Linked DNA regions of Alligator mississippiensis. The protein of the gene in region 1 purifies or fractionates together with the protein of each later gene. This does not show direct contact. Links are inferred from orthologs where the notes say so. Each region holds a gene or a part of one and is shown on either strand. Other genes may lie near its edges.

The links.
Region 2: the proteins of IRAK1 (region 1) and PELI2 purify together in Homo sapiens (affinity purification with western blotting; 7 studies listed by BioGRID and IntAct, with this or other methods). This does not show direct contact. The link is inferred for Alligator mississippiensis from reciprocal best matches to the Homo sapiens genes IRAK1 and PELI2.
Region 3: the proteins of IRAK1 (region 1) and TOLLIP purify together in Homo sapiens (affinity purification with western blotting; 11 studies listed by BioGRID and IntAct, with this or other methods). This does not show direct contact. The link is inferred for Alligator mississippiensis from reciprocal best matches to the Homo sapiens genes IRAK1 and TOLLIP.

Annotation. Positions count from the first base shown.
Region 1 is NC_081831.1:28,782,990-28,792,672, forward strand, and holds the start of IRAK1 (interleukin-1 receptor-associated kinase 1), read left to right. Parts: upstream 1-5,307; 5' UTR 5,308-5,398; coding exon 5,399-5,513; intron 5,514-6,499; coding exon 6,500-6,667; intron 6,668-7,076; coding exon 7,077-7,244; intron 7,245-7,321; coding exon 7,322-7,431; intron 7,432-7,806; coding exon 7,807-7,974; intron 7,975-8,296; coding exon 8,297-8,361; intron 8,362-8,524; coding exon 8,525-8,639; intron 8,640-8,830; coding exon 8,831-8,946; intron 8,947-9,088; coding exon 9,089-9,293; intron 9,294-9,683. Other genes in the region: MECP2 (methyl-CpG-binding protein 2), read left to right, coding at 1-463.
Region 2 is NC_081825.1:293,732,314-293,742,266, forward strand, and holds the start of PELI2 (E3 ubiquitin-protein ligase pellino homolog 2), read left to right. Parts: upstream 1-6,217; 5' UTR 6,218-6,303; coding exon 6,304-6,380; intron 6,381-9,953. UniProt on the Homo sapiens protein: E3 ubiquitin ligase catalyzing the covalent attachment of ubiquitin moieties onto substrate proteins. Involved in the TLR and IL-1 signaling pathways via interaction with the complex containing IRAK kinases and TRAF6.
Region 3 is NC_081825.1:186,447,040-186,456,918, forward strand, and holds the start of TOLLIP (toll-interacting protein), read right to left. Parts: upstream 3,808-9,879; 5' UTR 3,700-3,807; coding exon 3,667-3,699; intron 1-3,666. UniProt on the Homo sapiens protein: Component of the signaling pathway of IL-1 and Toll-like receptors. Inhibits cell activation by microbial products. Recruits IRAK1 to the IL-1 receptor complex. Inhibits IRAK1 phosphorylation and kinase activity.

The DNA.
Region 1 (9,683 bases):
GGGACCCAAGGCCGGGCGCCGCAGCAAGGAGGGCAGCCCCAAGGGGCGGGGGGGAGCCGGGGGCAGTTTACCTGCCAAGAAGGAGCCGCCCCTGCCACCGCTGCTGCAGCCGCCACACCCGGAGCCCCCTGCCAGCCCCCCGGACAGCGTGTGCCCAGCACCTGCGGCCACGCCCGCACCCACACCCACGCCCCAGGACCTGAGCAACCAGGGCTGCGCTGAGGAGGCGGCTGGGGCCCGGGCCTGCCCTGCTGACCCCCCCAAGACTCAGCCGCCTGCCCTAGCCGTCAAGCACCGGGCAGAGGGTGAACGCAAAGACACTGTGTCCTCTTCTTCTTCTTCGTCCTCCTCTTCCTCTTCCACCTCCACGTCGTTGGCCCCCCCGCCCCCCGCTGGCCCTCGGCCCGGTGCCAGGGACGACGCCGTGGACACCAGGACGCCTGTCTCCGAGCGGGTCAGCTGACTCTGAGTGCCAGAGTGTGACGGGGGTGTAACGGGAGGGGGGGTGCAGCAGCACGGACGGACGGACAGATGGATGGCACCCCCTGCCCCTCCCCCCACACCCTCCTCGGGACTCGAGGCAGCTCCGCAGGGCTGGGCCAGGCTGAGCACCCCCCCTCGCCAGCCCATGTGCTCTCCCCCAGCCTACCCTGCCCCCCTCCCCCCACCCTGGTATTTCCTAGCGAAAAGCACAGCGCCCATGGGGGCCGGGAGCCACTTTGCACTTTCCTCCAACTACTGCCCCTCTCCCCACAACGACTGGTGGGCCAGGGGGAGGGGAACGTGTGTACGCTGCACGCCTCTCCGCCCCCAGCAGGCTCCCAGCAGGTAGGAACCGGGGAACCTCCCCTCCAAACTTCGTCCTTGCTGCGGCCCCAGTGCATTGTGGGGAGGGGGGGCACTTCTTCCAGTTCTCGGCAGGCATGGAGTGGGGGGGATTATTTGCACTAACTAGCCAGGTGTGGGGAGGGGCAGGACTTCCTGTCAGGGGTTGTGGGACTGCACCTGCCTAGTGGTCAAGGGTTCAGGGTTTTTGGGGGCCCCCCATGGTTAGGGGGAGTGGTGTGTGGGGGTCATGATTCTTTTAACCCTGAATCCCTTCCCCCTCCGTGGGAGCTGCAGAAGGGGGTGCTGTCCCCATCCCTCTGCCTTTTGTTGGAGGGCTTCCTGGGAGTAACCAGGGATTCCTGGGCTAGGCACAGGGTGAGAGCGGTTGCCAAGGCTGAGGGTCATAGGTAGATCACAGCCTGGGGTTCCCCAGAGGTCAGGATGTGGTTGAAACTGGGCTCGGGGTCAGGTTATAGACAAGCTCTGTCATGGAGTTCACTGGACATAGGCGTGTACGTGGGGTCAGATCACAGACTGCCATGCGGTTCCCTGGATATTGGGGTGCACATAGGGTCACACACAGGCAGATGGGGCCGTGGGGTTCCCTGAGTATCTGGATGCAGGTGGGAGTCACAAGGGGTCAGATCATGGACAGGCTGTGATGTGGGGTTTCTTGGATATTGAGGGTCACATGGGGTCAGATCACAGACAGGTGCAGCTGTGGGGTTTTCTGAATACCAGGGTGCAGGTGAGGTCACACGGGGTCAGGGCATGGACAAGCCATGATGTGGGGTTCTCTGGATGTCAGGGCACACATGGGGTCACATAGAGTTAGATTATGGGCAGGCCTCTCTTTGTTAGGGTGCAGGTGGTCACAATGGGTCAGATCATAGGCTGTAATGTGGGGCTCCCTGGATATTGGGGTGCAGGTGGGGTTGTGGGGTCAGATCATGGCCAAGCTGTTCCAGGGGAGGATATTGGAATGCAGGTGGGGTCACATGGGATCAGATCATGGATAGGCTGCAATCTAGAGTTCCCTGCATGTTAGGGATCATACAGTCAGATCCCAGGCCTCACTGTGGAGTCCTCTGGCTATTGGGGGCCATCATGGCAGGGCTATGAGGGTAACTCCATTTCCAGCTACCCCATCATGGAGCTGTGGCTGGGCACAGGGGGCTACTGTCTTACACTGTGTACTGGGAGACTGACAGCCCAGGGAAGGGAGGAGATAGTCCATCTCTAGGGCGGCCACACCCCAACTGCTCCATCCTGTGAGGCAAAGCTTTGCACTTTAGGGGGCATCTATCAAAGGGGACATGTCCCCCCCCACTCCTCTCAGGGCAGAGCTAGTTAGAAAACTAAGGAATGCTGAGGACTTAACTCCTTCCTGCCTAGCACCTTTCCCACCCAGGGTGATGGAGTGGAGACACTTGGCACCCATTACCTTCATGGTGGGGTGGAGGGGAGTTACCTGACATCCATTACCTTCATGACAGGGGGGATTACTTAGCAGCCATTACCTTTGTGGTGGGGCAGAGGAGAATTGCCCAGCACCCCTTACCTTCATGGCAGATTGGGGAGGGGGAGTTACCTGGCACCCATTACCTTCATGGCAGGGCAGAGGGGAGTTATCCGGCATCTGTTACCTTCATGACTAGGGGGTTACTTGGCACCTGTTACCTTCATAGCAGGGTGGAGGGGAGTTACTCAGCACCCATTACCTTCATGCCGGGTGTGGGGACGGGGCATTATTTGGCATCTGTTACCTACATGGCAGGGCAGCCCTGCCTACCGCTCCATCGCAGTCAACAATAGCAGCCTGGGGGAAGGGGGGGGAGTACCATTCTTCCACACACTGGCCCCAGGTGGCCACTTCTGGGGGGTACTGGGTGGGGGGAATGGGGAAGGCCCCCAGTCCCACTGATGCAATCAAACCCCTCCCCACAACCACCACATTCCCAGCTTCCAAGCCTCGGTATTCATTGTTCGACCAAATATCACCAGGACTGTTATCATCATGCACACAGAGCTCCCTCCCTCCATCGCAACCACGTGCTCCTGTGGGCTCCTCCCCACATTTCGGAGCTGGCCCCTGTGATGGGAGCTGTATACAGCAGGCTTAGCTCCCTCTCTTCTGGTCTACAAGCTCCCTCTCCTCTGGTCTACATATATATTCTGCACTGGTCCCATGTGCAGCTGTCCGGCCCCTCCCACTGCCACGCACACATAGAGGGGGACTCCTAGGCCATGGCTGGGGAGCCATGGCTGTCATCATGGAGAGCTGGGCTTTTGGGGGGCCTGGATGGGGTGGAACCATGCCTGGGTGTAGAGGAGGGGCATCTGCCCTGCTGTGACCCCTAGGGACTGAATTCCAACTTGGGAAGAGACCCCCCACTCTCAGCTAAGGCCTCAGGGGATCCGGATTCCACCCCCCAGGGGGAATGGGGAGATTGCAAGCAGCTGGGGATCCCCCATCCATGCTCATCCACTCCAGTCCCATGTTGGAGTCTGTTGCTGGAAGGGGTCATTCCCTGGGAGGTTGAAGCAGTTTATTAAAGGATGGAATTTGTATCATTTCAGTAAAAAAAAAAGCGACAAAACCCCCCCAAAAAAGATACCAGCGGGGGGGGGGGGGGGAGCAAGGCCTGAGACACCCCCCTTCCCCCGAATGTACCTGTCTGTGTCTGCTCCCCCCCACCCCACCTATTTATTCTGGGAGAGACAGAGAGACACTGGAGACATTTGCCTTAGCCATGTGTGACTGGAAACAGACCCCCTCCCAGCTCAGCACATGCGTGTACATGGCTGTGCATCCCCCTCCAACAAGTGGGGGGGAACGTGTCACCCACATTTCCCCTTATCTTGGGGCCTAGGCGTCACCTTTTTCTTTCTTCCCTCCCCATTTTGGTTCCTTGCCACCTTGAGTTTCTATCCCTCCCCTACCCACCAGAAATTTTGGACCCTGCCCAATTTTTGGACCTCCTTCATTTCTGACCCCCCCCCCCCCATGTAAAATTCGGTCCAGACTCCAAGCGCAAGTAACTCTCTGCATAGGTTATTTCAGTGCTATAATTGCATCTCTTGTTGGTAAGTACTGTATTCTGTGCTAGACTCGAGCTATAAATCTATGTACAATTAACCCACGGATGACTTCCTTGCCTTCATTGCAAAAGACCCCGCCCCCCCATGGGGCTGAGGGGCATCCACTCCCTTCACCATGCTGGAGAAGCTACAGCTAGGGTGGATTTGCTCTCAGCTCACTCTCTGGTGGGATCAAGCCATGGTCCTTGGGCCCCCAGGAGTGGGAATATGTCTAAGCTACTGGGATGCAAGGGAGACTGCAGTTTGCCTCTCCTGCCACACCCTGGATCTCCCCCCTCTGTGGGACACAGAGAGAAGCCAGGGGGCAGCCACGGGCACCCAGCAGTGAGGTCCTGATTGTGAATCCCTTCCCTACTCTATCAGGCCACACTGCTTCGCCAGGGTAGGATAGAACCCAGGTATCCAGGTCCCCCGCCCCTCCCCACTGTAACCCGCAGACCCCCACTTCTCTCTAGAGGTGAAATAGAGCCCAGGTGTCCTGGCTCCCAGATCCCCAGACCCTGCTTCTCTTCAGGGCTAGGATAGAACCCTGATGTCCAGGTTCACAGTTCCTAACCTGCAAGACCCTGCTCCTGTCCTAGATCTTCCATAGAAGCCAGGCCTGAGCTCCTGAGCTCCCAGCTCCCCATTCTAGCCCACCAGGCCCCGCTTCCCCCCAGAACTGTGATAGAACTGGGGTGTCTGGGTACTAACCCTAAGCAGGAAACCACAGCCCGAAGAAGTGGAGAATGGGATCCAGGGGCCACCATGGGGTCGTGTCTGTATTGATGACATAATGCTGCACGTGGGAATGATGTTAGTGCATGAGATCACCTGGGGAGCTGGACTGGGGGCATCCCTCATGATGCCATCATCCTGATGACATCACAGACCCTCACCCATCTATAACCCAAGCTCTACTTAGACTACCCCAGCTGCTGCCCTAGTCATAGCTCCGTCTACAAGCCCCTCCCACCCCAAGCCACGCCCACGCCTACAGGCGACTCCCTTTGCTTTTTGTCGACTGCTCCCTCCCACTCCCAGAGTGCTTTGCGGGAGGAAGACTCTCGCTCATCTCCTTAGAGCAGCCAATGAGGTCCTTTTATGTAATAACGCCCCGCCCCTCAAGCTGCCACTTTGCATATGGCTCTCGGCAGAGGTTTCCTTTCCGCCACACTCAAGATGGCGACGGGGGGGGTCCCTAGGCCAATGCGCTTATAATAGAGGCGGAACTTCCGCCCTTCCTAAACTGGCGTCGCGCCCGGGTTTCTCTCGTTCCGCCACGCCCCGAATGGCACTGCCTTTGCCCTCCACGCTATGTGGGGGCGTGGTGGGACTTAAGATTCACCACACTCAAGATGGCGTCACGAAGCGGGGGTGGGGGGGGGGCCTCTGGAGGCTAGAGCGCATGCACCTGCTGGGCCGTTATGGTCACTCTTAAAGGGGAAGTGATTGGTTTTCTGGGGCGGACCGGGCTGGATCGGGTGGCATGGCCGGATCCGGGCCTGGCACCGGACGGTTCTTGCATGAGCTCCCGGCCTGGCTCATGTGTAGCTTCTGTCGCCTGATGGACGCATTGGGTCGTGCGGACTGGGAACGTTTCGGTAACTGTTGCAAAGTAGGAGGAACTGAGGCATACTGGGAGAGACTGATGGGGACTGGAGTATCCTGGGAGGGACCTGGGAACGACTGGTGAAAACTGGGAGTGACTTGGAGGACTGGGAGTGACTGTAGGAGACTGGTGCATACTGGGAGAGAGACTGACAGTGCCTGTTGGTGGGCTCTGGGACATCCTGGGAGGGGGGCTGGAAGTGGCAGGGGGGGAATGGGGTATACTGAGAAGAGGACTGGGAGCAAGTGGTGAGAACTGGGACTGGAACACACTGGGAAGGCAGTTGGGAGTACCTGCTGGGGACTGGGGCAAACTGGGAGCAGCTGGTGGGGACCAGGAAGGACTGGGATGTACTTGGGAGGAGACTGGGAGTGACTGGTGGCACTGGGGCAAACTAGGAAGGGGAGTAGGTGAGGTGGGGGCATCCTGGGAGGTTACTAGTAGCAACTGTTGGAAACAGAGGACTGCAAAATATTGGGAAGGCAACTGGGAGCAACTGGTGGGGACTGGGGCATACTGGAGGAGAGACTGGGAGTGACTAGCGGGGACTAGGGCACCCTGGATAGGGAATAGGAGTAACTGACGGGGACTGGAACAAACTGGGAGAGAGTTGGAAACTGGGATAGGGGCATGGAACACTGGGGAAACTGGGCCAGTCAGGGATGTCCAGGGAGTTCAGTCACTGGAGCATACTGATATGTACCGGGGAGTCACCATGACATACTAGAGCCTGCTGGGAGGCCTTGTGGTCTCCTGATGCATGCTGGGAGCTAGCTGAGGTCCACTGGGATGGAAGGAGCCTGGAGGGCAGCATTCACTGGCCACTACTGGGACATGCTGGTTTATACTGGGTGGGATATAGGGGAGTCAGTGGCTATACTGGTTTATACTGAGAATGGACTGGTGGGTGGGGGCACTGCTGGGGGAGGCTTGTAGCAGGGGTGGAACCTGAAGCCCCGCACCCTGCCCTGCCCCCAGCTTCCAGAGTGGTGCGGGACCAAGTGGAGCTTCGGCTGGCGGGCACCAGCGAGGGCCGGACACAGCGGGTGCTCTGGAGCTGGGGCCACCGCAATGCCCGTGTGGGCGACCTGCTTGCCTTGCTGGGAGAGCTGGAGTTGGACTGGGCCCATGACCTCATCGCCAGCTGTGAGAGCCCCACTCCACCCAGCCCACTGTGCCCCTCATTACTGACCTTTATCTCCATCCTTATACCCCAGAGGGACCCTTGCTCAGCCTGCAGCTCCCCTGCATGTTGGTGGCCCTCAATCCCAATCCACAGCCTCACTTATGCTCTACAGTGCCGCTCACTTCTGACTTGCAGCCCCCGCCTATATCCCCCAGGGTCCCTGGTGGGCAGAACCCTGGTTGTGGGGGGGGGAGGGGGGGGAAGGAAGAGCTGTGGGGGGTCTCTGGGGGAGAGGGGGGAATTTGGGGGAGTATTAGAGGGTGGGGAGCTGTGGGGGGCTCTGGATTGACAGGAGGAATTGTGGGTAGAGCAAGGGAGTCTCTGTGGGGGCTATGGGAACCTCATCTCTGGTCCATTATTTCTTCCCAGGGCAGCCCCCTCCCGAGCCATGGACACGCCTGCCCCACAGCACCTCCCTGGCCCCTCCCCTGCCATCTGTGCCTCTGCCATCCGTGCCCCCTGCCCCCTGCAGTACTGCTCGGACCCTTCCCTGGGACCCGCCAAAGGCTCTGCCCGTGCCAGTCCCACCCCTTCCAGGTAACTGCCTCTCAGAGTTTGGGGGAGGGTGGGGGTCACCCCCTGCCCCCTCAGTGACTTCCTGCCCTGCCCCCCAGAGCCATCCTGCCTCTCGTTGCCCCTCCCTGGCCCCCCACCCCGCAGCCTCCTCAGCACCAGCAGCCATGACACCGTGACCTCTCCTGACCCTGTGACTCTTCTCAGCCAGGTAAGGGGGAGGGGCTAACTAGGGGTGTGGGGGGATGGCCCTTGGGTTCTTCAGGAAAGGTGGGGATGAGGGTGCTGTACCCAGAATGCCTTGCTCTCTGGCTCAGGAGGGCTGTTCCCGAATCCTTTGTGCTCTCAGACCCTGGGTTCCTGACCCAGAATTCTGGGGAGGGGGTGGGGGTGGGGCATAGCAGTTATAACCATAATCCTTTGCTGTCCTGCTCTGGGTCTATTACCCAGAGTCCTTTGGGGTGGGTCCTACCCATAATCCTTTGGGTAAATGGAGTCTGGGACAGGGGAGAAAGTTCTTTGCTGCCCTATTCCCCAGAATGCTGTGCTGCAGTGAAGGGAGTGGGCTATGTGTTTGTGCCGCCAGGTCCTGCCACCCCCAGGGTTCCCACGTCTCCTGGCATGGCCCCTGGCAGAGTTGGTGGAGGCCACGGGCGGTTTCTCAGAGCAGCACAAGGTGGGCGAAGGTGGCTTTGGTTGTGTCTACCGTGCCCGGCTGCGGCACACGGATTGTGCTGTCAAGCGCCTCAAGGAGGTGAGGGGGGGCTTCCCGGTATGCTTTGCGCTGTCCCATCTTCTACCTTCTCCCCAATCCATAGGCCCCTTCCAGGCATCCTTTGCGTTGCCTGCTTCTCTCTCTTGTGTCCTCTCCCCAGCATCCTTTGCACTCTCTAGTCCTTGACCTTCCTCTCTGCCCACTATAGGCCCTTTTTTCAGCATCCTTTGCACCAGCCATTATCTTTCCCTGAATCCTTTGCATCTTCTGCTCTTCCTCCTCCTCCCCCCCCCCCCAGCCCTTTGTAGTGCCAAGTCAGGGTGACCCCTGTTCTCTCACTAACTTCCCCCCTGCCCTCCAGGATGCAGAGCTGAACTGGAACCTTGTCCATAACAGTTTCATCACAGAGCTGGAGAAGCTCTCGCGGTGAGGGGGGCTGTAGGTTGGGAGTAAGGGGCACTGCAGAGCTATGATAGGGGTAGGGGGGACTGGGAGTTGGGGGTGAGGGGCACCGTGGGGCTATGTTTGGGGGGGGGAAGGGGGTCAGGAATAAGACGCACCACTGGGCTAATGCCAGGGCCCCTCCCAGGTACCGGCACCCGAATATTGTGGAACTGGCTGGGTTCTGTGCTGAGAAGGGCCACTTCTGCCTTGTCTACGTCTTCATGCCCAACGGGTCCTTGGATGACCGGCTACGCCCACAGGTAGCCCCCACTGTGGGGGTTAGGAGTGAGAAGCCCCTTGGGGCTGTTGGCGGGGGGAGAGCTTCAGGTTGGGAGTGAGGGGCACTGGGGAGGTATGTGGGACTGAGTCCTGGCTGGAGTGGGTGTGGAAGGGGCAGCTGCTGGTGCCACCCCCACCCAAATCCTCCCCTCTTCTGTGCCCCCCTGCCCAGGATGGGCGTCCTCCACTGACGTGGCCTCAGCGCCTGTCAGTACTGGTGGGGGCTGCCCGGGCCATCCAGTTCCTCCATCAGGACGTGCCCAGTCTCATCCATGGGGATGTCAAGAGGTGAGTGCTGCAGGTCAGGAGTGAGGGGCATTGGGGGGGGGCGGGGTTAGGAATGAGGAACATAGTGGGGCTAGAGGGGCCCTGGGTCCCGGGGGCGGGGGCATATCCTTGGACTGTGTCTCACCCATTTTCTTCCCTCCAGCTCAAACATCTTGCTGGACCAGGCACTGACCCCCCGGCTGAGTGACTTCGGGCTGGCACGGGTGGGAGTGGGGGGAGGCCGGGGGGGCCGCAGTGGGACCCTGGGCCGTACGGGCACAGTGCGGGGGACCCTGGCCTACCTGCCCCCCGAGTACGTGCAGACTGGTGCACTCTCCCCTGCCATTGACACCTACAGCTTTGGTGTGGTGAGGCCCCTCCACCCCCACCCCCAGCATGCCCCTGCCTCAGGCCCATTCCCTAGAGCCTTTTGAGGGAGCATCGTACCCACAATCCTCTGTTCCTCTCTGAGATGCCATTACACAGATTGCCTTGGGGATGTCATACCCACAATCCCTTGTTCTCTTCCCCCATACTTCATTAACCAGACTGTTTTTTGAGTGGGTCCTACCTGCAATCCTTCAGTCCCCTGCTCCAAACCTCACTACCCAGAGTACCTTTGGGATGGTTCTACCCACAATCTTTTTGCTGTATTGCTCCAAATTCCATTACCCAGAGTGCCTTTAGGGTGGGTCCTATGCACAAGACTAATCTTCCTTGCCCGAAACCCTGTTACTCAGAGTCCTTTGGAGAACTAC
Region 2 (9,953 bases), on another chromosome or scaffold:
CCAGGATCTCTTCTTGGGATTTTGGCTGTGTTTCGGCCCCCTGAAGCTCAGTGACATGCCGCTGAAATAAGTCATTTTCTTGAATCTGACACAGATACAGTTCCTTCCTAAACTCTGGCATGAGATGGCCACAGAGGGGTAGAGTTTTGCTGGGCTCTTCCTTCCACTCCACTTCCAGCAGTTACACCCATTGTCCCCTTTATTTAACTCCAGCAGACACAAGCTTGAGGAACAAGGATTCACCTTTCCATTAACCAGTTCTTTGGACTAGTGATTCCCAACCAGAGTGCCTTGAACTTCTTTTGAGGGGTGCCACGTGAGGTTCTTAGATCAGCCATGCCCGGGTTGATCAGAGCACTGAGAAGCTGTTTTAACCTGATCTAGAGTACCATGGAGTGCCTTGAGGTCCTTCCAAGGGTGGTAAGGGGTGCCACACAATATACCACACAACGTTAGGTGTGCAAATATGAGTCATAGGTTAACCCTGGAGATTTCAAATGGGAATTCATTGTGCCCAAAGTATTCTGCTCTGTTGTGATCTTTCTGAGCTGTCTGCAACCGAAGAATTTCCAGTATTTTTTCTGTTGTCAAAAAAACAAGCGAAAACTAAGAGCTGGTATTTTCTGAGGGGGGCCTTGAGTCTAAGAAGGTTGAGGAACACTACTCTAGATAATCCACCAAAGAGCTACTGGTGACACCCTTATTAGACATCCTGTATAGGAAGTGCGTATCTCCTTGGTTTTCTACCCACTCATCTGTAAGCTGGGGGTGCCATATATGGTGCCATCTTTCCCAAAATTTGCAGCAAGGAAAGCGTTAAAAGATGTTCCCATTCATTTTGAGATGTCAAAAGATCTGTTCGTTCTAAAGGGACTAGCTCCCACTCCCAAAGAACTGGAGGGACATTTTCCTAGTGACTTGAATGCAAGTAGGACTGGGCTGAATTATTTGGGGCATTTCTTGGAAGTAAATTTAATTTGGATGAGGTTACATGAAAGAGCAGTTCATACAAATTCTTGTTCACATTTGAGGGAAGCTTGAAGAAGCAGCAGCCGCTAATGCATTTGATTTTTCACATTGGTTTTTAAAATGTATTTGTTTCCTCTGGCAGTGACTCACTGCACAGCTTTCTTTTCTGTTGTGTCAGGGCAATAAAGAAGATAAATCTGCAATAATTCAGCTCCATGTCTTTAATAAAATCTTGTCATTTCCTCAGAGCCTTTAGGAAAATCCCAGTTCTGCAGCATTTCAAGATTGGTTGGATTTTCCATTTCTCCTTATCACCAGACATGGCAGAAAAAAAAGTAATTGCCAGGGAAATTAATGGCTAAATATAATTGCACTGAAGGAAAATAAAATGTTCCAGTAAGAGAACCAGGACACAATTAACAATGAATGCATTAGAGTTCAATGTATTCTAAGGTCTTAATCCTGGAAGGAGCACTTGGAGGGGCCGGCACCTGCCAACCTCACTGCTGAATCAAGGCCAGAACCGCAGAATGCGCAGATGCAATATATAGTGACTTTTGTACGTTCGCTGTGGCATGGAAGTCTCAATATTGAGTAAATGAAACTTTCCAATGGAGTCTCACTAATTTCTAGCTCACCTGGGCTGATTTTGAGCTGTTGGTAAGCATCAAGCAAAAAGAAAAGGAGAAAAAAAAGGGCTGAAATCTAGAGAAATCTGCCAGGTGAATTCGGTACTGTAAGAGATTCAGGTTCTGGAGTTGTGAAATGTAGCGGCTGGGTTTTTCCCCCCACACCTGTTTCTGTTTTGGTGTTTCACAGCTACTTTCCTGGAAAGGTCCCTGTGAATCTGTTATGCAGCTACACACTGCGTGGATGCTTGCACACTAGATAACTGGCCACACACCCCGACGTTGGTGGGGACATGCCACTGTTATTACTCAATATTTATTTGTATTACCATTGCACCTGGGAACCTTGGTCATAGACTGGGACCCATTGTGTTAGGAGTGGTGCAAGCAGAGAATGAATAACACAGTTCTGGCTTCAAAGAAAAGGGAAAAAACAGGAGCCAGCATGTGGATACATAGAGAAGGGAGAGTGCAAGGGAGCGCGGGGACAATAGTGATCAGTGTGATAATAAGCTGTGCAATAGGCAGCTGTGTTTGCTGAGTGGGACTGGCTGAAAATCCAAGTCTGTGGGCACGGTGCTTGTATGGTGCAGGAAGACAAAGGTGGTTTTCTGCTTCTAGGCTTTCCTGTTTTTGGATCTGGCTGGGCCCTTGATACTAGCCAGTGCAGATTCAGCGTTGCTGGACGTCCACTGGCTGATGACTGCTCCAATGGAGCCAGGACAGCAACTGAGGTTTGCTGCCACATGCCAGTGCTCAGCCATGCCCTCTCCCCTCTTGACCACATATCCAACAGGCTCCCAGCACAATGGGCATCTTGACACATGCCGAGGCACCTCTGTATGCCCCACAGTAATGCAAAAGGACCCATGATCTGGCACTGTACATTTCATTCATACTTTCTAATAACCTACTATGCTAGGATTGCCCGACTCCTTCACCCTGGTTTTCAGTATTTCCAACCATCCCTCTTGAAGTCTTCTACCCAGGATTACACGCCGTGTTTTGGAAATAACACGCACAAACTACATTGCATTCACAAAGCTCCCGCCTCTGTATCTGAAAGGAAAGGGACAGCACTCTCATTCTGTTTGGCAGCTCATTAATAATCTGATCAACGGCTTTAATGCAGGACTTTCTTTTTAAAGTTTTTGAAAGGCTGCAAAAGTCCAGCTCCCAGAAGAGAGAGACCTCAGAAGCTCAGTGTAGTTGTAAAGCTTGGAAAGATAAAACAGAGCATAAATGTCTGCAGAGTGGAAACATGGACTTTTAAACAGCGTTCTTTAAATTTCTCATAATTTTTTTTAATAGCCTAAGACAAGAACTGCCTGAAGAACAAAAGCACAGGGTAATGTTAAGCCTTGGAAGATGAAACAAAGCGCGAGCGGCTGGCAAGGTGGACATTCCCATTTCTTTCTAAATTGCTGAAAAATAAAATAGTATTTACTTCCTATCAGCTGTGATATTGAAGCCAGTTGACTGCTCAGGGGCAAAATCTCACAGGCAGCCAAGCTAGAATTTAGAAACCCTCCAAGGGCAACACCCATGGGTCTAGTCATTAATTGAGCATTCAGTAAGTGCCCAGACTGTTGTGCATTATTCAGCATTGTACTGGCAGTGCCTGAGTATGCTGGATATTAGCTTGACTGCCTCCCTGACATAATATCATTATTGCCATCCATTTGCATACATATGAGGGGAGTGGGGCAGGTTGGTAAAGAGGCAGTTTTAAAAGAAAGTTTTCTTTGCCCATCAAACATGATGACAGTGTCGACGATGTCTGTGGTCCTGGCTGTCCCCATAATATAATAGGTTTGTCCTTACGAAGGGGAGGGGTGATGGATGGAGCAGGTGTATTTTAATGTTAATCATGAGTGCTGCCGGCACCACTCACATTCGGAGGTTTCTCTGCATGTCTCTTTTTTGGCTCCTCCTAAATATGACTTGGATTAAAGGTGGCTTGTTTTACAAGTAAATTTTCCCTCTTCTACCTTTGCTTACAATCAGCCTCACTAGCTAGCAAAGAACTTGATACATCTAGAAAAAATACATTAGACATGTCTATGCTAATTCCCCCACATTAAACCCATCCTGATTGTGCTTGGGGTGGAGAGGGGGGTGGGGAAGGGCCTGATCTGAATGTTGTGGTTTAGACTGATCTATCAAAACCACGAATAAATCAAACTTTGGTGCTAATGCTGTCCGGCTGCCTAATTCCCAGTGAAAACATTCTTCGGTCCTCCCAACAGTCTCGTACAGATGTGCGTATCTTTGCTAACTTGGAGCTTTCAGCAGAGCCTCATTCTGCATCATTTTCTTGTTCATTTTTGCCGCTCACTGTGCTGCCGCTCCTGCTACAATTGGGATACAGCGCAGGGCATTACCACTATGACTCTCAGCATCACCACGGACGATTATTGAACCATTGTGAATTGCACCAATAGCTTGCAGTCACGACTGGGGTCAGGGGAGCTCAAAGAGCAGCAATCTGGTGCCCTCTCCCTTGTGCCCGACCTGCCTTCCCACACCTTATCTTAAATACTTGGCTCGTCCCAGGTCCCTTTACTACCTGTCAGCTAAATTGCTGAGAGCTGTTGTGAGCAATGATTTCTGATCTCGATTCAATGTGTGCAAAATTTCCCAAATCTCCAGCCTGCCATGGTGCTTGAGATTTCAGAAGCTCGGGGCATGCACAAAGTGCCTTCAGACCCCGCAGGATCAGGTCTCATCGGTTGATATTTTCTACTGTGCACTGAGATGGTAGAAAATTGGTATTTCCAGAGTGGGGACATGGGAGTGGGGGTGGCAGCCCTTCCTGGCAGTGAGTCTTACACCTTTCCCAAGAGCCACTTTGCCTGATCTGCTCTGCTTTTTGTTTCCTGTCTTGTGCCCCCTACTTTATTTCCTGCTCAACTTTCTGCTTCCTGCCCTAACTGCTACTCCCCAATCTGTCCCCTCCCTGATCCGTGGAGTGCCGCGCAGAGAGGCTGCCCAGGCTGCTCATGGCACAGGGTGGCCACCCGGGCCCCAGAGCAGGCTGGCAATCTAAAACCTCTTGCTCAAGTCGCCAGTGCCAGCAGGGTTGAATTTTGGCTGTGGATTGTTTTGTGCCTGAAACAGAATTCCCTAATCTGGGCGCTTGGACTTGCACCCAAATCCACTGCTTTGGGTGGCTGCAGCCGTCGTCTCGCACTCCTAACCTGGAGAGGTTGTTGCTCGTATGGACCCCCGCGCTGGCTGCTGGAGCAACGCTGTGGCTGCTGTAGAAGGCAGAGGGCTCCTGGGGGGAAATCTAGAACACATCCACTCCGAGGACAGGGAGCAGCGGTCTGCAGCCCGTTTCCAACACTGATGTGGTCGTTGCTGGAGTACGACATACTGAACCCCTAAACTACATCCACTTTAAGAGGCCCTGTACAATAAAAATAATCCATAAAATCTACAAAAATGGATTTTCCTGAAATTTTAAGGTGAATTATTATTTCTGCACAAATTTATGAACTCAATATGAATAACTGTGGAGCCATATGTATGTATATTTTTTGTCATATTAGAATGAAAATGCCCAGGTTTTTTGTTCTTATTTAGAGGCCCCTCATATGGTGAGGCTCTAAACTGGTAGTTTAAGTAGCTTAAACCTAAACCTGGCACCAGACACGATTACCGGAGAGCTAGGAGCCTCGCTGCAACCTGGGGTACGGACACGCCGCCCTGAACACCCTTTCCTGGCGGGGCTCAGGACGGATCTGGAGCTCTGGCTTGAGGATGGGGCAGAAAGCACAACGGTCTCCCGTGCCAGTTGAAGCGGCTGATCTAGAACTGGGGTCCAGCCAAGTGTGAAGACGCTGCCCTGAAACATGGGGGGGGGGGGGGAGTGTGGGTGCTACCTGCTCTGACACAGGGCAGAGGGACACGCATCTGGAGCAGCGTTCTGGAGCCAAGCGGAAGATGCCGATCTAGAACAGGGGGAGGGGCTGGTCACTGAGGCTCCATCTCTGGTTCACGAAAAAAGCAGGGTGGATCCAGAACATCATGCCAAGAAAGGATGGAGAAGCCCCTGCGGCAGAACCCTGCACCCATGCTCTAGAACCCTGCACCCATGCTCTAGAACCCCTTGCCCCTGGGCCAGGGTCCAGAGCAGGCCCCTAGAGCTCAAGCCGTGCGGTGGATCTAGAACCCCAGGGCACAGATTTGGGAGGAGGGGGTGAGAGCAGCCCCGTGACGTCACTGCGGCCCTAGAACGCGGGCTGGCGAGCTAGAACCGCCGCCGTCCTATCCCAGGCCGCTGGGGTGGGGGTAGGGGGGAGAGCGGGGGTGACCCGCAGTGGTACGGTCCTCCCCGAGGGGGGGCGCTGCTCTCAGCTGAGCGGCCCCTTTAAGACCCGCCGGGCGCCGTACTCTATGTTTACATAACAGAGCGGGCCGCACCACAGCCGGCCCAGCGGGGGGGGGGGGGGAAACGTGAGGCGGTGCAGCCAGGAGGCGGCTTCGAGCGGTTCGCGGAGGCGGGGCGCGCCTGGGTCCCGCCCCCGCCCTCGGCACCTCCCCCCCGGGGCGAGGTGGTACGTCCCCGCCCCCCGGCCCCCCCCCCCCGCTCGGCGGCAGTGGCGGCGGCGGCGGCGCGGGCAGCGCGGAGCGCGGCGGCGGCGGCCCCGGTCGGTCCCGGGTCCGGGTCCGGGTCCCAGTCCCGGCCCAGCGCGGCCCCATGTTTTCGCCGAGCCAGGAGGAGCACTGCGCGCCCAACAAGGAGCCTGTCAAGTACGGCGAGCTCGTCGTGCTCGGGTGAGCCCGCCCGCCCGCCCGAGACTGGCTGGGTCTCGAGGGGACCGCAGCGGTCTACGAGACTGTAGGGTCTGGGTCTGTCAGGGGACTGTAGGGACCTGGACCTTTCAGGCGCTGGCTCTTTACAGGTCTGTAAGGGTCTGGGTCTGCAGGGACCGCACCGCAGAGGTCTGGGTCTATAGGGGTCTATAGAGGTCTAGGTGTATGGGGGTGTGCAGAGGCTGCAGGGGTCTGGGCGTACGGGGGCTGGGTCCGGCTGGGCCGGGGAGCCGGGGCGCAGGAGCGTCGCTGCAGCCCCCGGCGGGGAATGCGGCTCCGGCTGATGTGCAGGTTCGGTGGCCGTGACACCCCCCCCCCACCCCCCAAACCTTTTGTTTCAACAAAAATAACTTGGCGGTGGGTGCTGTGCGGCGGGGCCGGGGAGGCCGGGGTGCGTTGCGCTGCGCTTTGCAGGGCGAGGGGAAGGGAAGGGAAGGGAAGGGAAGGGAAGGGAAGGGGGGCTGCGGAGCAGGTCGCTCCCCGCTCCGGCTGGGCTTGAATTAGGTTGCATAAATCCGTGTTGTGTTGCGGATGCGCGTGGCGTTGTTGTTGTTCTGCGCGCAGCTGGAAGTGCCGTCGCTTTTCAGTCGCTTCTTCAATTTTAGCTGGATTTTGAAAGGACGTGACTGGCAAACAGCTCTGGCTCGGGTCGTGACCGCGGAGGTTGTGCCCGATTTCCCTCCCCCCCCCCACACCCTCCCTCCCCGGGGCCCAAACGCGGTGACTTTTCTTGATTCCTCCGGGCCGAGGACCTCGCTCTTCCCCGGAGCGCAGGTCTGTGCGGTAACTGGAAACTGTAGAAATGAATTTCAATCCACTTGGAGACTTGTTTTGTTTTGTTTTGTTTGAATAGGTTGTCATGCACTTTTCTCAGCTTGCCAAATCGACTGTGGCGTCGCAAACAACTGATGATTTATCAGACTTTTTACAGTCATTTTTTTTCCTGAGATGCGGGGTAGTGCATAAAGGACAACACTTAAAGTTATCAGAGGCCTGATGATGTAACAAGACGTGGAAGAAAACTTCTTAACTTATCAGAGCCTCAGCTCCGTCTCGTTCGGCATATTTAGTTTCCTCTTTGTGTGATTGCAGCAGGCTCGGTAAACTAAACTGCACTTGGGCAGCTGGGAGTGCAAGGGTAGGACAATACCAGAAAAAATGCTCTGGTGTTTACATTTCCATTCGGGCCAAACCTGATCTTATGGTCATAGGTGCAGCTCTGCTTTCCCACCCTCCTTTTAAAAAACAAAACAAAATCTTAATTTCCTGCCCAAACTGCGAATGCTCAGTCGCTGCATCTAGTGCCATAAATAGCACAAAGCAGCATTGAATCACTGCTAGAAACTCTCAGAACAGCTTGAGCATCTGCTCGGAGTTCTAAAAATGTAATCCAGAGTCGGCTTGGCATCTTCTTGTTACCTTTGCACGAAAGCAAAGAAGGGGGGGACCTGCTTCTCCAAAATGAAGCTTCAAACTGAAAAAGTCTCATAATGTCTCTTATGACGGTTATGACAAGCGATAAAAATGACCTGACAGCTCAAATTAGAGAGAGGATTTAATTCTTTTGGTTAGAGGATTGCCTGCCTAGTTTAAATGGTGATGTGCGTTGGCCAATTAACTTTCCTCAATCTTGAGGTCTGTAAGACTAGTTTAATTTAGATGATTATAAGCTGATTTTGTGCATTGAAACCAGCTTATTTTGTAAACCAGTTTCTTAAGTAAAGCATTTTCCCCTTTACCACTCTTCTCTTTTTTCTTTAGTAGTTGGGTGTGTGCCATACCAGAGTTAAAACTTAACAATAGAAGAAAACCCTTCTAATGGGAAAACTATGCTTATTGCCAGAAGATGAATATGTTCATCTAAGAGACTGTCTAGCAATAGTTGTGATTGCTCGTCTGCATGTTAATGCGATAGCAGGGGAAAGCCTAAAGCATTGCGAGTCAGTCACCACTGCAAATACATTTTTAATGTCCTTTTCCCAGTAGTCCATCATGTATTCTGGGTGTACGTGTGTGTAAGTGATGTGACAGTTCGCATTTGGTCAAGATTTTTTTCCCTAGTCTTACAAGACCAATATTGCAGTGAATAAAAACACATTTATGCAAACTAGACCAGACAGGTCATAATAGCTAGCAAAGAAAAGAGATAATCTGCTTGATTGTGAATGGCCTCCTGTAGCGTTGTCTGGTCCCCAGAGTTTCGGGCTTCCTTTCCAGTGCAGGAAACACATTATACCTTTCTCTTGGAGTTCATTTGAAGTAAGCTGCTGTCTCTCCCAATTAATAGACCATTGTTGGAAAAATAGTTGCTGCGAAGGACTAAATGCAAAGAGGAATGATAGGTGAATAGAAAATGAGGCCAATTTAACTGTAATTGTAACTTAATTGGGTAAATAATATATTTCTCTGTTTGATATTTTGGGTATTATTTGCCTTGCATGCCAAAACAAATGGTGATAATTGTAAATAAATATGTTGGGGGGGAAGCAAAACAGAGTCCCCAAGAGCATTGTGCTATGTACTGCTTAGTTTTGAATTGCATTGCATAGACCAGTGGTTTTCAACCTGTGGTCTGCGGATCCCAGGGGGACAGCAGACTATGTCTAAGGGGTCCATGAAAGATGACTATCATCAATCAAAAGTATGTGAATACCCGTGCTTACAATTCAAAGGAACCTACCTCCATTCAAAATGTTGTAGGGGTCCACAAATGAAAATAAAGGTTGAAAATCACTAGTATAAACCAAACCCAGTGTAAGTGCTGCCCAGTATGCTCTTTATTGTCCTTTGTGTATTCGTACTCAACCTTTGCTATTTTCTAGGCATTTTTTTTTACTTAAGGTAGAGGTTCCCACGCTTTTTCCTACTGCGTACCCCCTTCCAGATTTACCAGCTGCCTGAGTACCCCTCCCAGCCTATGTCTTGTATTTTAACTCCTTAAATGCCCATTATTATTATAATGAAAATTAAATCCACCATTACACTATTTCTCCCACGTACCCTGCAGAGATGGCTTGCATACCACAGTTTGGGAACCCTTGACTTGAGGGAACCAGGCTGCTGCCAGTATTCTTAAATCATCTTCCCTCTGTGGGGGCTTCTTCAACATAAATATTCCTTCCCGGTGCTGAATATGATGCTGCTGACCAGTTTTGAGTTTCTCAAATAATTTACTGCCAATTAAAGTATCGTAAATTTAGGAGGGAGAATGGCTGAGAAGCTTGACTTTTTAGCCAGTGGCTCTGTGCCGTATAATAACTTTCTTTTTTGGGGCCTGCTGTAAGACCTGTTGAAATCAAAGGATTTTGGATTAGACCCCTTGTAGGCCAGTTAAGTCCTATAAATTACTGGCTCAAAGACTCTGACCTGTAGCCAGGGCCTGTGTATTATATGACAACTGGAAACAAATCTGTACAATTTAGTGGTTAGTGAAAACGTATTCATTGCTAGCTGTGGTAGAAAACCTAAAGTCTGTGAAGTAAACTTAACATACTACAATGGCTGGATTTTTTTTAAGCGATGCTCGTTAGATGA
Region 3 (9,879 bases), on another chromosome or scaffold:
GTAGAAACGCCTTCAGTATATTTTATTGAAGAGGGATTATAGCTTGAAAACATTTTGCCCAACCTTTTTCTCCTTTTACTGACTAACTGAGCTGAATTTCTCAATAGCTAAATCAGAGATCAACTAGATTGTCAAGGCTTTTTGTCTACAGATAAGAAAAATAAGCTTATCTTGATATCACCACTCTTGCTATTTACAAAAAGAAATCTGTTCTTCACCATTTAATTCATTAATCCGTTCACCATCAAAACCAGATTATTTTGTTTTTGGAAAAACAAAAACAAACCCACCCACCTGCACCTTTGTAATTAAGAAGCATAACAACTGGTTAAAGTCAGAATTAGAGTCTCTTCAGATATGATGTAGGAAAGAACCATAGTTAGTGGTTCATGCTCGAGACATCAGAATGCTTACGTTCCACTTTGATTTAGAAATATTAACCATCTAACACTCCACAAGATAAAGATTTTCTCTATTTTATGGAGGATGAAAGTGATGAGGTACATGAGCTGTCCATCATACAGTATATATGAATCCCTCAGACGGAAGGTCCAGTATATGAACTGTTATACATATTACACAGGCATTCGGCATCCCCTTGATAGATCCGTAAGTAGAAACAGAATCAAGGGGGAGAGGGGAACCACACATACACCATGCTACCTTTTGAACATGCTCTCTCCAATGCTTCCAAACCAGAGCATCCTATTTAGTAGCCATGCAGTCTGAATGAGTGGTTCTCGACCTTTTTGGAGTCATGTCACCCCTTCACCACTTTTCTGAAAATGGCAGAGGGGGCTAGACTGTATCACAACACACCTAATGGGGTCTCCCAGCACCCTGATTGAGAACCATGTCTAAATAATTAACATTTCAAGTTAGAGACAGAAAAGATGACACAGTTACCCCACTTAAAAGCTGGCATGGAAGTGGATAGGAGGGTTGAAGAGAGGACTGATACCAGATTGAGCAGCATCACAATAGTTTCATCTGTTCCCTCCTAACCCCTAAATTGAGGCAGAGCAAGTTTGCCTTGTTTGAAGCAGTGGTTACTTACTGCAATTCCTTTCACTAGCTCTGGGTTAGCAGAAATGTAACAGTCTTATCTTATGAAACGTTATTAGGCACTAGGTAAAAGTGTCAAAAGTGAGTTCGTGTTCACTCTAGAACAGAAAACAAATAAAACTGTTTTTAATGCCAAATAAGTAATACATAAATAGCAGTTTTACAACATATGTTTTTTACTTGGAAAAATTAAGATTAGTAAAATAAATTGTGTGAAAAAGGATCAGTGCATCTTTAGTGACAGATGTGTGTCAGAACTGGCCTAGAGACCTAGTATCCCATCATCAAGGTATGGTGTTAGTATAAACAAAATTGATTGCTTTGCCTTCCATATTCAAGAAAGATAAATTCAAAAAGAAGCAGGTACAGAGAAGGGCTACTTGGCTCTCCTTTTTCTCCCAATATCTTATCTTTGGAAGGGAGACTAAAAAAGGTTGGTTATTTAGCCTAGCAAGATGAAAATGTATCAGGATGGACACCAGAGGGATGTGAAAAGATCAGTCAGGCTAAATGACAATATTGACACAAGTACAAACAGGTTTAAAGTTTAGTCAGAAACCAATTTCTGTCTTACCAGGAGAGCAAGGTTCCAAGGTTCTTTATCAGTTTGTATCACAGTTACCAACAATAACAGAGACTAGTCTCTCTGTGCCTATATACATGCAGGGAGGCTGCTCGGACATGCTCTAATTACAGTGTGTCGGAGCAGACTCAATTAATTGAGTCTGCTAGAACATGGCAATTACCGCTCTCCAGCAGAAATGAGCATCATGTGGATCAACGTCCTTGTGCTGAAAAATGGCAACAGGGGCACTTTAACTACAGCCCCCATCACCCCTCAACTCCCAGAGCACCCTGTGGTCCCTTCCAGTCCTGAATGCAGAGAGAACCAAACTAAGGAATCAAACTGCGTATTTTAATCTCATAAGTTTAGAAACAGAAATTTCCCCCATTCCCCCCCCCCAGTAACACTAGTCATTTTTTTTTTTTATAAAAGTACCAGATATTGCAAATTACATAATGAAATACAGCAGCCATTATATATTCTGCCATACATACATTCTTTATATTTCACCTGAACATTTATCAGAAGAGGGCAGAAGGAATTTCACTTTTAATACATCTGAAAAAATAAGCTGCAATTAGGAATGTTTGCCATGTACATATAAATGAGAACTACAGATCAGAAAGTGTAGGCATAAAAATAAGTCTGGTGGCATTCTGTCATGTACTCCCAGACACCCACGTCCAAGACAACCTTGGAAAGCTTCCAGTTTGAGCAAGCTAGAAGGATAAAGAGGTAACACTCTCTGCAGCATTAGAGCATTAGACAGGACCTTGTATTTAGCCTGTTAGCCCCCTTTAGTGTCTACTTACTGACATTACAGTTTTGGAAGATGCTGTTTGCCCTCCATGTCACAAGGAAGGAATATAGAAACTGCATTAGTTTTTCTGTGGAAAGACTATCAGGAAAGGGGATATACATAGTCTTGAAAGGCTGCTCTTCTCCAGTAGAAAGGAAACCGTTTTATATATGCGGTCACGGATTTGAAGCAAGAGCCCTTTTGGGGTTAGTGGAGAGGAAAGTCCAGAAGCGAAAGGTTGCAGGCAGGCGCCCAGCCAAAGAAAATGACAAAAGGCCTCCCTCCATATAAAGGCTTTAGGGCCTAGCAACGAAAGTTAACAAAATCCATTTGTAAAGAGAAACATATTCTTAAAGAGCTAACACAAAGGGGAAACCGCAGGAAACGAGATCACTAACACACTTCCATCATCATCAGATAAGGCCAGTGTAACAAACAACCTAGTCTTCTTGCCTCTCAGCATCACTACATAAGTCCGCTAGTTTGCTCAGCCTAGCCATTTTGTTCCCTATAAATACCTGAAGACCAGGGTTCAATTGTAAATAGACGTACTAACACAAAATTCAGACTGCCCCCAGACGCAGGCAAGGACGAGAGAACTGGAACAGAAGAGTAAAGCAGGGTTTCATCACACGTCTGTGTCTGTGGTAACACTGGAATGATGCTGTCGCAATGTCCAAGAAACTGGATTTTGGGGGCAGGGTGTCTCTGGGCAGATCAAATGAATGACTGGTGAGACCGGAAGAAGTGCTCTTGCGCTTGAACACTTGGTGTCTCAATGCAGCCCCACTCGATCCATGGTAGAATCAGAAGCCCAGGGCTGCAAGGGACCTCAGGAGGCCCACTCCAACCCCCTGCCCAAAGCAGGATCACACTCCAATGGTGCCACCCGCCCCCTGTCACATCTCGAACAACGTCACCTAGCAGAGGGTGGTCCTAGCAGCCAGGGCCGAGTGGGACACCCCTGTGTGCCGCCAGCACAGGCTCCTGGGAGGGTAAGTCGTCCTCGATCCCGGTGGTTCTCAGCCTTTTTTGTACCAGGACCCGTTTACAAACATCGACGGCCAGTCCCGACCCAGAGTCCCCCTCCCCCAGCACGTGGGGCAAGGGAGGCCCCAAAAAGGGGGGGGAGGGGAAACCACGCATGCGCACACACAGCGGGAAATCCTCAGGGCCTCCCCCCCCCGCGGGGCCGAGACTGGGGGGGCCCAGTTGCCCGCTGCCGGCCGACACTCACCGGGCCCCGCTGGGTGCTGACAGTGGTCGCCATAGCGCCTCACTCGGACCAGGAACCTCCGCCTTCCGCCCGGCCAGGCCGCCGCTACCGTTAACAGCCTCCGAACGCCGAGCTCCGGAGTCAGCTGACGCGCCCCGCCCCACCCCGCCCCGTTATTCGCCGCTGCGCATGCGTGATGCAACGGGTGGTTAGCTTGTGAGTTGACTTCTCCTCCTGCCCCGTCTGACGCCCTCGCAGTGGCGGCGTGGCCTCCGCGCATGCGCTGGAGGGGACGGGCGGGGCGCCCGTGGTGAGAACGTGGCGCATGCGCGCTACGACACTCGTGCTCTCTTACTGCCCCCCCACCTCGGAAGCTGTGAGTTAGTCTCGCTGATGGGAATTGGCGCCTGCGCAAGAGGCTGTTATGGGACAGCGCTCTCCTGAGAAATCGGTCTCAAGAAGCTGTGTTGCGCATGCGCGAAGAGGCAGCACGCATGTGCAATACTGGTACTGGAGACCTTTCTCACTCTGCCCTTGGTGTGGATGGATCACTACCAAAGGGTGGGGTTCAGGGTGCCTGGGAGTGCTGCAGTGCCTCACCTCTGCCCCACAACACAAGGCTTTCCCTCAAAACAGCTGTCCCCATGCCTGGGACTTTGACCCCTACACATATGGTAGCGCCTGCCACCAAAATGGCCCCTATACTAATACAGTCACTACCCACACACTCAGATGCATCACACTGAGGCACGTTCCAGGCTGCAGCACCACGGCCATGGCCGCCTTCATGCAGGCTGCGCCATCCGTACCAAAATGGCCACTGGCCCCAGCCCTAGAGGCAATTGCCGAGGTACCATCGCACAGAAACTCCAGAGAAAGGCCTGCCATGTGACATGGTTGCCCTAGTATATCCCAGGGTGAGCTGTCACTGTACCACACCAAAAGGACCATATCCAAGGTGCCCTGGCGCTGGTGGGAGACAATCTTACCCTGCACAAGAGATCACTGTAGGGTCTGAAGACACTCCCCATAACTAGATAGCCACCAAGATAATACTGTACACCGCTCTCTTGTGCTGTGAAGCCTCTGTCCCAAAATGAGAGCTGATCTGCCTCACGCCAGAATAGTCACTGTGCCAAATGAGGGATTTTCCTGCCAAATGACAAGACTCTAGTGCCCAGTCCTGAAATGCTTCTGCACCCTAGTTAGTCAGACACCACTGTCCTATTCCAAGATGCCCGTTGAGGTACTTCCACCCTGCTCCAAAAAAGCCCTACACAGAAGACCCACATGGATGGACACCAGTAGACCACAGTAAACCTGCTGCACTGAGTTGGACTGCCCATTACTGAGTTATCACTGTCCAGACCCAAGGCAGCATTAGAGCCAAACTGCTCCTGTGATACAGTAGTAAAGCAGGGTGCTGTAACCCACTAGGATGTGACATGGCAATATGGGGTAAAACATTACTGTTGTCACCTTGCACAGAAATATCACTGTGAGAAAGTGATGACATAGCACCAAAACATCATCTCTATCATCTTTGCTGTGCCCAAAACATAATAATTTGACAATGTAGGATCATCCTCATGTTTCATGAAAATGTCACTATGAAGTTAGTATGTCAGTGTGGCAGATACATTCCTTTGCCTTGTACTAAAATGTAACTGTGCTGCAGTGGATCATTGTTTCCATGCACCAGCACCATGGTGTTGCACAGGAAAATTGTACGTGTGGGGCTGAAATATCATGTAGCAGGGTGCCAGTGGTGGAAGATACCTCACTATTACCACTTCCTCATGCCCAGAACTTACTGGCCGCGTCTACATGAGATGCTACTGCACAGTCGTTACTGCACATTTATTTAGTACTTGTATAAATATAAACTCGTATAAACAAGTATTAAATAAATGCATAGTAACCTGAGTTACTACGCAGTAGCACCGGCAAATGCCTTTTTGGTGACACTATTGCACAGTAGCCTAATACTACTGCACAGTAGTGTCGCATCACATTTTTTGCCACGCAATGCTACTGCGCAGTAGTTATCAGGCTGAGGCTACTGCGCAGTCAGCATCTCACATAGATGCATCCACTGTGATGCAGTGTTACAAGATGGAAGTGGAACAAAGTAAATATTGCCATCAGAATACAGCATTATACAGTATGCTGAAGGAGATGGAAGGGGAACCACAATTGTTTAGTGAAATATCTGAGAAGTTGCACTGAAATGACATCATAAGGTGGCACAGTGATGGGATAATCATTCTTGCATTGTACTGAAATATCAGTACGCTGTGATTCCACAACAGCAGTGAAACAGCACCACACAGTTGCAGTGAAATGCCAATGTTATATAGCATGACAACATGAAGTTTAGCCATATCACTTTCATGTTGAACTTAAACCTTGCTTTGCTTGTTTTGCCCACACAAAATCATTATTGTTCCTGAGCAGACTTTCTTCCTAACAAAAATGAATCCTTCTAGGGGTGGAAGTAGGGTAGTAGCAAATGGTGCAGTCCGTGTCATCATGGCAGAAGAATAATGAAGAGAAGAAGATTGAGGCACCAGTCTGAGGCAGCAACCCTGGGTGGGTAGCACAAAAAGAGCAGCATCTGTGCTGTTGGCACTGCCACTGGCATGCTGTCAGCAGCACAACCACTGACACTGCCCCATGCACAGCTGCTGCCAAGAGCACTTAAGCACCCAGTTACTTCATCATAGCCTAATTGGATCTGTCCGGACAGAAGAATGAGTAAAAGCAACAGGAGACCAAGTGGAAGAATAAGACTGCTACACAGACTTCTACAGCAAGTCCCCTAAAATCCATTTAGATCTCAGAGGACCCACAGGTTCCAGCATTCAAATTTCCTGCCCATTCAGCAGATTCTCACCCACCCAATGACAGAAACATCAGTGAGGAAAAAAGGCACAGAGTTCCCCTTGCTTTGGTTTTCTAGATGACCTTAGAGGTCTCTTCCAGCTCCATGATTCTATGATTCTGCAGGCGTGTGTGATTTGGCCCTTGATGAGGAAACCACCTGTGCCCTCATGCCAGGAGTCATATCTCCTCCAGCTTGTTGTGCAATTCCAGTCTTTTCAGAAGAACAAAAGCAGCTCTAATATTCATCTGAGTGCTGTTCTGGGAGATAAAATCTGAGAATTTCAAAACCTATTTAAATAGCATAACTGTTTCCTGTTCGGATTTGCTGCATAAATTTAGTCATTAATTAAAATTCTAGTGCAGATTCCAACAGCTGGAAATAGAACAGTACAATTAAGAGCATTCCAAATATATAACAGATCTTTTTCATGCTACCATAACATATGTATGGAGAAGGAAAAAGCATCTTTTGCTTTTGTCTTGCTAGCTCTAAAAATGGACATTATTTGATATAATTGATAGGGAGGCCTTGATCAGATAATACAGTTGATACCAGATGCAAGCTGAACAGCTAGCTGAGGATAGAGGCTGTTATGTTCCCTGGTATATTTATAAATTGCTCTTCTGATGGAACTAGAATTCATTTCAAACTATAGGACTATAAATGAAGCAAAACAGACCTTTCCTTTTGCCTGTTCAGGAACCTTAAAGCATTTATCATCAACAAACAGCACTGAACATTATCATGGAACAAAAGTAAAAGGCTTAGCTATCTGCTTGCCACTGGCAAAGAAAGCAAGCCAGAAAATACATCAATTAAATTTAACAAAAAAGACCAAATTCACCCCTGACACAATTCACTCAGCTTACATCAACGGTGCTCAATCTCTGGTCTGTGGGCCAGATCCACCTTGTGAGGCCATGTCATCTGGCCCACGAGTATCCCCCCAAGTCCAGAAATTGGGGGCGGGGGGATTACAGCATTAATTATCCCTCCCATGCTGCCCAATTTCTGAACACATGGCAAGCCCCATGGGGCAGATGACATGGCCTTATCTACTAGATCATGCTGGCATGTGTCAGACCTGCTGGCATGGGGGTGTCACTCAGCAGCTGGATCCAGCTCATGATATTGGGCTGTGTTCAGGGTTGGGCCAGCTCACTGGATTGTACCCACAGACTGTGTTGACCCCACACTGGATACACCATAAACCAATCCCATGTGAGGGATCCAGCTTCACACCACTCATTTGGCCCACAGAGCTGGAAGGTTCAGCCCCACTGACTTACCTCAAAGGTGTATTTGGCCCAAGGATGCTGTCCAGTAAATGGACTGGTAGAACACCAGTGGGGTCTGTACCAAGAAAGTTTTGCAATCCCTTGTGATCTTGTGATCAATATACACTCAATCAGTACATTACGCCAGCTAGGCTGTATGTGGAGTTGGGGATCATCATAGTATTACTACATATAGGCAGCACCCCCTTTCCTCTGGCTACATGCCATGTATATAGGATTTTCTATAGAGCCCCACACAAGTGATATCTTCTAGTAGCCATTTAAACAAGGCTTCTGACTGATTTGCACCGGCCGAACAACATTAAATAGTGCGGCTGACCCAGCACAGACTCCCTAGCAAGCTTCCTTGATCGTTAATTTCTGGTAACAGCTCCCTCAAATTTAGTCTCTGAGACCCCTACTGACTGATGATTCTATGTAATTGTGGCCATTGAGTTTATGTTTGTCTCTGTGGCTGGTAGCTTCATTGTGGATTTCACGCAGAGAGAACCTGCTTCAGGTGATATCTACTTACTGATGCTTCCCTGGGTGACTGGCAAGACCACTGATCTCATTCCTAGGAAGCTAATTCCTGTATGTAGTTTTTATGTAGGAAGAGATGTGGGCCCACCACTGGGAAGGACTGTTTTCCATAATCATTAAGTTACTATTCCTTAGACACAGACTGCTGAGAAAAATGTATCAGTGTAGATAAGGAGTGACCTTGGTGGGAGAGTTTCTCAACGTCAGCAGATGAGGAAGTAATTTTGGGCTGGGTAAGAGTAAATCCCTATGTTTTTATTTTCAGTGTTATCTCTCTCAGTCTTTGTACAATGTGACAATGAGCAAACTCAGAGTTCAAGGGCTCAGATTTTGATTTCATGTATGCTACTGTAAATCAATCTAATCAATTATGTGACTTGCAAGTTAACTGAAATCACTGCCCCACTGGTGTGATATGTTTGCTGGAATTCAGAACACACAGTCCTTTGCTCCTTTTTGGCCACTTCATGTGTGCACTTCACATGCTGTGAATAGCTTGAGAAATAACTAACAAAGTGTGCATTTGTGCACACTTGCATGTGAATTTACCATGCCTTTGAGAAAGCAAAATTAGTATGAAAAAGAAAACTTCATATATTACTTAAATAGGAGTTAATTTTTAAATGTATTTACTTTCTAGAGTTAATTGATGTCCTAATATAGTTTAGTGTCATTTCTAACAGTACTGATCTAGGTTATTCATATATTCACTACTCTTTTGTGGTCAAGGAGGTAAAGGAAAAGATTAAATATTTGTGTGCTTAATAGCTCATTTAATACTTTTCAACCAAATAATGCAAAAAATCAGCTCATTAAAATAGTAACAGTGATAAAGATAGGAATTTCACATACCAGGGGATGTGAGCCCATTTGAATAAGTGAGCTGTAAAGTCTCACATTGCAAGAAAACCCCATTATAATCACATCCTACTGGAGAGGATTGCTAGAGAGAGCAGCAGTTATTTTAAATTTTATAGTCAGTGATTTTTTTTGTCTGTAATCATGAGAGATTACCAAGTGTTTAGCATTTAAAAAAATACATAACTACTCAAACAATTCTTGACTGCAACCAAGTTGAGCCCAGTACAGCCCAGTGTATAGACCACACTGCCTTTTGTTACTTTTGCACTCCCTGGTTTCTGCAGTTGAAAACAGATGCTAAGGCTGCTGTAGCTTAAATTGCCAACAATATCCTGGAGCTGTTCAACAATCCAAAATAGCCCAAGCACAGTGTATTTCTGGTCACGCCACTGCCCCGCCCCCTTCCATTTCTGTTCATACCTCCAACATGTCCCTACACCAAGGGCTGCAAAGTAAATGCTTTGCAAGCCATGTGTCATGAGGGAAATCCTGCTTCTTCCAGAAGCATTCCCTATTTAATAGATCAACAACCTTCACAAGGCTTGTGTGATTATAGAGCTAGCATATAGGAGCTGCCCCCAAGCTCAGAATTATTCCATAAAATAGGAATGTAGGTCTGCTTCCAATATAGTCAAATACTTCAATAAAACCTCTGTCTCACAGGAC